Linked DNA regions of Daphnia pulex. The protein of the gene in region 2 interacts with the protein of the main gene of each other region in a pairwise test. Links are inferred from orthologs where the notes say so. Each region holds a gene or a part of one and is shown on either strand. Other genes may lie near its edges.

Region 1 (2,604 bases), on a different chromosome or scaffold from region 2:
ACAGCTCTTCTTTCACTAGTTCACCCCTGAAATTAACTAAGAAGATCCAATGAAGTCTGATATGTCTAAACTATAAACAGCAATTTAGACCAAAACTATTAAATTTACTACAAAGTTGTGAAGACTAATAGATCACAGGTGTAAATAAAATTCCTATCATGTTCAAACTGTTCAAATTGTGCACACACACAACAAGAAAATAAAACAATTTTTTTTACAATGAAGTCGATGGAGTCATCGAACATCGACGTCATGTTTGCTTTATAACATCTTTTAAAATTAATTTCATTTCATTCCTACCTTTTGATGCCAGTCAGCATCCTTAGAAAATAAGATTTATTCAAGGCCAAAAATTGAAAACGAAAGGTCTCTTAAACCCAACTTGTTGTTGATCACTGTTTTTACTCTCACTTCAGCTCTTTCTGTGTTATTGAAGTTTTTCTCCAAGGTCAGCAGACGACTTTTGCCTTGGCCATCTATTATGTAAAAATCTAACCACGTAGTATTTTAAGCAGTTTATTTTGGTTTCCCCATAAAAATCGATGGAAACGAACAAAAAAAGCATAGACAAGTATCCAAGTAGGCAAAAAAACATTTAATCTTCAATGTTGATCCCCAGTGTTAGCATCTTTTCTTTGTTGGATCATTTCTCTAATGTTGTTCTCACTTTCTTTCAAGCTGCGCTCCAAGTATGCTTTAGTTCCCTTTTTAATTGAACAGAAATTAGAAAAAAATGTAAACAAAAATGCACAATTAAATTTAATGTAAATCTAACCTCAAGTGTTTTCACTTTCTCCTCACAGCCTTTGATTTTGTTCTCAAGGTTCGTTCGTGCTACAGTTACTTCTTTTAATACAAACATACGACCCACACTTTCATACGTTTTGGTATCAGTTGGAAGTTGACTTATTTCTTTGTCAGTTAGTTGTGCATGTGTCATACTTCTTTTGAGCGTCTCGATCTGTAGATCAGCTAATTTGAGCTTTTGAGACGTCTCGACCATTTTTTGCTGTAGTTCAGCAAATGCCTGAAAACAGTCATAATGGAATGAATATGTGATGTCAAAATAAGACAAAAATACTAAAAATAATAACCTTTTTGAGTTCAAGATCCATCTGTCCTTGTTTTGCCATTTTTTAAATATTATTACGGGTCAATGAATTACAACCGGCAGGACTATAAAAGTGACACCAGCAGAAGACAATTTTGGAATTTGGGAGGAGAGCATGACTAAACTAAACAGAGTCCACACATTTTATAAAAATCGCTATGAAAGTATTAATGTCTAAAATTTTATTTAAATTAAGTTTTAATTGTTTTAATTTTTGAACTGATTAATGTTTATTTTGATAATCATTATAAACGATCGAAAATTTTGTAAGCCACCAAGGGGAAGTGAAATGACGTCATAGTTTGGTTGTTTAGTGCTGATAACTTTGCAGACGACTATCCTGAATCGAACACGAATTGACGAACAATCGCCTTGAAGATTGAAGTGCGAAGTGTTTGAAAATAATGTCTGCAGGAGCTCTTTGTGAAACCCCAGGTTGTGACCAAGAAGCCCGGTTACAATGCCCGACTTGCATTAAACTGGGCATTAAAGGATCGTTCTTTTGTACACAAGAATGTTTCAAAAAAAACTGGAATGTGCATAAGAGTGTCCACAAGAAAGAAACAGTGACAGAGCCCGTCGCGTACAATCCTTGGCCTGGTTTCCCGTTTACCGGTATGTGAAATTATTTTGTGTTGGGATATTATCTCTATCTATAGTTTTTTTTTTAGGTACTTTACGTCCATATCCTCAGACCCCCAAACGCACCATCCCTACACACATTGCTAGACCAGATTATGCTGATCATCCTGAAGGACATCCACTTGGAGAACAGTCTGCTAGAGGAAGTTCCTATATTAAGGCTTTAAGTGATGAAGAGAAAGAAGGAATGAGAGTTGTCAGCAAGGTAATCAATTGTTGCCCATTATGAAATTTGCAATTGACTAATATTATTTACAGCTTGGTAGAGAAATCTTGGAAGAAGCAGCAAATGCTGTGGCCGTAGGGGTCACAACAGATGAGATTGATAGGATTGTCCATGAAGCCTGCATTGAGCGGGAGTGCTATCCATCACCATTAAATTATTATGAATTCCCAAAATCCTGTTGCACTTCTATCAATGAGGTTATCTGCCATGGTATCCCTGATAAGAGACCCATGCAAAATGGGGATATATGCAACAGTAATAATAATTCATTTGTTAAAAATGTTTGTGTTATCCTTGTTTATTAAAAAGATTTTATTCATTAGTTGATGTAACGGCTTACCACCGAGGATTTCATGGTGACCTGAATGAAACCTTATTCGTTGGTCAGGTTAGCGAGTCTGCCAAGAGGCTAGTGCAAGTCACATGGGAATGTCTAGAAAAAGCGATCGAAATAGGTTTGTAAGCTTCGCGCTTTCAGTTATTTGTTTACCGATAAACTCTTCATGCGTCATTTTTTTCCCTCATTCTCTATAGTGAAGCCAGGTGTTAAGTATCGCGATGTTGGGGCTGTTATTCAAAAACACGCCCAAAGCCATGGATTTTCAGTTGTTAGGAGTTATTGCGG
Region 2 (4,398 bases):
ATGCTCTAAAAGAATTGAATATTAACACAATTACAGTTGTTGTATGAAAGGAAAAAACAAAAAAACAAAAATCAACCTGCAAATAAGAGAGCGCATAACGAAGGATCGATCCACCATTCTCATCAATCAGAGCTACACGTCGACAAACTCTTTCAACATTCAAGAAACGTTCCTGAAAAAAAAAGAGTAAAATTTAAACGTAAAAAATACTTCAACAAGAAAATATTTCAGGGCGTTACCTTCAGAGCACCTTGGGGAAGGATTCCTTGATCTAGAGCGGTTGGTGGGATGGATTCGATGACTGCCAGAGCAAATTCATCATTGTTGTTTAGTGCTTTGTTCAAACTACTCAGATTGAGAGGGTGGCGTTGCTCATTCCATGGCAAATGGACTGAATTGTTACTGCGCAGGGACTCGATCATCGATTGAGCTGCAATCCATAGCTCACGAACTTGACGAGAAACTCGGTCCTTTTCGGCGCGGTCATGGATCGCGTCTTGAATTCCTTTGCCCATTCCGTGAAGCTTCGCCAGGTTTTCATGATGGGACGCCAACAACTTTGCGACTTCTAGTTCACGTTCAGCATCAAATGTTCGCTTTAGTTCTAGACGTTGCGTCTTTAGAGTGTCATTTAAGTGATCAGTATAAGCAGCAGCTTGGAGTTTAAGCTGCTGAGTAAACTGATCCGACAAGGTTTTTTCATGAAACGAAATCTGTTAAAGAAATCGACACACACATTAATGGAATGATTTGTTTAAACAATAATGGGCGGTATAACTCACATCTTGATTATATTTCGCTTTTAGTTCGTAGTATTGTCTTTCCAATTCGACTCGTAAACGGGATTCCAGAACCGAATGGTCTTCTTTTCTCTGGGTATCTAAAGCTCCTTTCAGGCGCTGCTGCTCACAAGACTAGATATACAAATTTTAATTGCTGTAAATTTTTGTAAAAAAACAAAAAACAAAAAAAAAAAAACATTTAAACTAACCTGTTGCCTGGCTAGTTCTTTTTGCAACGTTATTATCTTCCAATAGGCATGGGCCATCAAAATATTGATTTCCTCTTCACCCAACTTGGAACCTTCGGTTTTAAAACTGGGTGCCAATTCAGGACGAATGGAAGATAACTCCATCTTGAATAATGCAAACCAAAGACGTTGAAGTTATAAATTTTTGATAAATATTCAATTTGTTACCTGCAAGTTGTGCCTAGCAGTATCAACAAGTTCACGATATTCATCCATAACTTTGGCTTCAGACTGAGCCGCTTCAACTCGTGCTTTTGCAGTTTCCAAACTAAATACCAAACATTATAGCCACTGGAGGTTTTGAAGCAACATTCACAAATACGTACCTATAGAGAGCACGGGCAACGCTTTCGTCAAAAGTAATTAGGTCAGGTGTTTGTATACTTTGGTCATTCTTTAAGCCATGAGCTACAGCTTCTTTCAGCTGAGCTACGGCCATTCTGGCATCATGAGCTCGAGACTCGGCAACATGCACAGCTTCATTTTTATCGTGTGTCGCCATGAAGACCGGCTCCCAAATATTTTCATGTGTTTGACCAGGCTCGTAAATCTTTTCTAGTGACTTGAAGACCAATTCAACATGCTCTACAAAAGATAAAATAATATAAAATAATTGTTAGTCTGATTATTTAGGAGACGGTTACTTTTGATGGAGCATGCAGCCATATCTTGGGCTGCAACAGCTTCTTTAACAGCGTCAGAAGCTTTGGCATGAAATTCCTTAAGCAAGTCCCCAAATTCGGCGGGAGTTAATTCTGATAAATTAACTGCAACTTTTTCGAGAACCTAAATTATAGGAAAAATAACTAAAGATTTTTGTTTTTTGAAGTTTTGATGTACAAATCTGAAAGTTTCTCACCTCTACAGCTGAACTATCAGGTTCAGATTCATTTACTACTTTAATATTTTCATCTGTTTTTACCTGAATGCAATTTGGAAGTCAAACATAAGGTATAAGCAAATAAAATAAAAAACAGTTTACTTCTGGGTCTAAATTTAAAGATTCTTCAACACTTGATTGATCATTGTCACAAAATTCTTCCACAGATTTTATGACATCGAAGTCTGGGGGTGGTAAATCGATTGAGGATATGGGTAGCTCTTGTGGGCTTGATTCTTCCACAGGATTGATGGGCAGCTCATCTAGGAGAGAAAAAAATTGCTCCAAATGTACAAGAAAATAATTCAAATGTTTATCTACCATCTTTTTTCTTGAGTGCTTCTCGTTCCAATTTTTTCTTTAAAAGTCCATCTTCCTTTACTCTGAAGCAAATAAGTTTAAATAAATAATCAATAAAAGTCTAGAAACAAAACTGATTATACTTGACAGGATGCTCAAGTTTTGGTAAATGGGAAACTGAAGGTCCCAGTAGTAAATTGAACAGAAATGAGGTTCCAGGAATATTTTTTTCAGAAAATTTCCTAAAACCATCACTTGTTTTGGCTAAGACAACAGAACCACCAACAGTTGCTAGAATAGCAGCTCCACCAATGGTTAAAATTTTGCTTCCAGATCTACAAATGAAATTATTACAGCATCTGGTATAAAAACAACTTACGAAAAAAATACACCGGTTACATTTGATTTGATTTTCGGCTGTTTATGTTCCGGCGGATAATTTGTCTTCCGTTTTGCAATGATACCTTCGACTGAGAACAAATTCTAACTGGTGCCTTCCACATTCCTGAAAAATGATCTAACTTTTCCTTGGATCTTCAAATGATGGAAGAAAATATTCCTGCCACTGTTGTAGTCTCGGAGTAATTAAGGGACAACAGACGACAAATATGACTCAAGTAGTAGTTCTTGTTAAACAGCATCCATCAGATAACGTGAACACATTTTGTGCCAAATCCCAAATTTTCTTGGAAAATGTTTCGAAAATTAACTCATTCCTTTTAATCCAGAGCTCGGCTAACATTAGAAAATAAATTCCTAATTTGTTTATTGTATAACTTGAAAGTGAAAGATTTTAGATTTAGAGCAAAATCAACCACCAGCATATGTTGTTCATGTAATTCGAAAGAATATTTTGCTATTTTCCAAAGATTTCAACATATTTGTTATTTAAATTTGTTCACAATTTGTATAATCAATATAGATGCCAGTCAGAATGATCTACATCTGATATGTAGGCCTATCACATTTAACCCTGCATTGGATGATCCAATTTGGATAATCTTGGATGTTTATGAATGTTTAATTCATAAAAGAAATTCAATTAGCTTTTTGACTTATAGTAAAAGTGAATTTAGAAGAAACCATGAAAAATGCAATTTTAATTCATGTAACAATATGTTGTTTTTATTTTTTTTATTTTTTCCCTTCTACCATTATAATGTGGTACCCAAATTTAGTTTTAACAGGTGGATCTGTGTAGACAGGATTACCCAATGATGAAATTGGTAGAGCAAAGGCAGCTTCTTGAAAAGGGCCAACCATAGATCCTCTAACCATCCATCCAAGGTCCCCCTATTTTAATATACAATAAAAAATGTAATAAGCAATTAGCATAATACTTGATTAACACATTGATTAACACTTACTCCTGATCTTGCTTTATCCTCACTGTATGTTGCAGCAACTTCATTGAATTTCATACCAGCTTTAAGCTTTTCAAGTGCTTCTAGAATTTTTGATTGCTTTTCACACAAAATGTGTCTAACCTATGCAAGAATAATATTTAAAAACATAATCTTATTTTATTGAAATATATCTTATTTTACCTTAATCGTACTCCCAGTTCCTCCTTTTTTGTCTTTACCCTTGTCATCATCTCCTCCTCCTCCTCCAGCACCTTTCGACTTTCCTAAATAGTCAATGAAACTTTATAAACGCTTATTTTCACAGTAGTAGAAACTTCTGAATTCTGACATATCCTTTTAGGTGTAAACAAATATTTAAAAAACACAACTATTTCACAAGGAAACTAATCAAACTATATGTACCAGCAGCTGCTGCTTTTTTAGGTGGCATAGCTATTATAATTCCCAATTCAAAATTCTAATCTTTTTATGAAAAAAAAAAATCAAAAGTCAAGAGTCAAGATTTTAGAACAATTACAAACGCGCTTTTCTGCGTTTTCAATTTTTGTGTCGTCTGCTCTGTGTCGACTAGTGCAAATATTGCGTAGTGGTCATATTTGTAATTACTGTTCAGAGTCACGGAATCTCGGTAAGTTAAAAAATTGATACACAGTAAATAAAGGGTTGATGCTATAAAACCATCAAATCCAATAAATTAAAAAAATTCTACTATATTTAACTTTCTTTCTTATTTATACCCATCCCAATAAACTGATTTTAATTTTTAAATGGCTGATCTGACATTTTCCCCTTCCCTCTTTTACTGCATTGATAATTTTACA

What was found. The genes of interacting proteins can lie anywhere in the genome.
Region 1: the proteins of MICOS complex subunit MIC60-like (region 2) and prefoldin subunit 1-like interact in a two-hybrid assay, tested with the Homo sapiens proteins (2 studies listed by BioGRID and IntAct). The link is inferred for Daphnia pulex from reciprocal best matches to the Homo sapiens genes IMMT and PFDN1.

Annotation. Positions count from the first base shown.
Region 1 is NC_060021.1:7,365,868-7,368,471, reverse strand, and holds prefoldin subunit 1-like, read right to left. Parts: upstream 1,246-2,604; 5' UTR 1,134-1,245; coding exon 1,095-1,133; intron 1,028-1,094; coding exon 776-1,027; intron 705-775; coding exon 603-704; 3' UTR 501-602; downstream 1-500. Other genes in the region: methionine aminopeptidase 1-like, read left to right, coding at 1,516-1,726, 1,783-1,958, 2,012-2,234, 2,303-2,434, 2,514-2,604. UniProt on the Homo sapiens protein: Binds specifically to cytosolic chaperonin (c-CPN) and transfers target proteins to it. Binds to nascent polypeptide chain and promotes folding in an environment in which there are many competing pathways for nonnative proteins.
Region 2 is NC_060018.1:5,994,495-5,998,892, reverse strand, and holds the start of MICOS complex subunit MIC60-like, read right to left. Parts: upstream 2,842-4,398; 5' UTR 2,714-2,841; coding exon 2,610-2,713; intron 2,546-2,609; coding exon 2,354-2,545; intron 2,294-2,353; coding exon 2,232-2,293; intron 2,174-2,231; coding exon 2,013-2,173; intron 1,953-2,012; coding exon 1,890-1,952; intron 1,817-1,889; coding exon 1,675-1,816; intron 1,616-1,674; coding exon 1,357-1,615; intron 1,299-1,356; coding exon 1,199-1,298; intron 1,136-1,198; coding exon 992-1,135; intron 915-991; coding exon 783-914; intron 714-782; coding exon 240-713; intron 173-239; coding exon 77-172; intron 6-76; coding exon 1-5. Other genes in the region: peptidyl-prolyl cis-trans isomerase NIMA-interacting 4-like, read right to left, coding at 3,345-3,503, 3,578-3,697, 3,758-3,840, 3,980-4,007. UniProt on the Homo sapiens protein: Component of the MICOS complex, a large protein complex of the mitochondrial inner membrane that plays crucial roles in the maintenance of crista junctions, inner membrane architecture, and formation of contact sites to the outer membrane.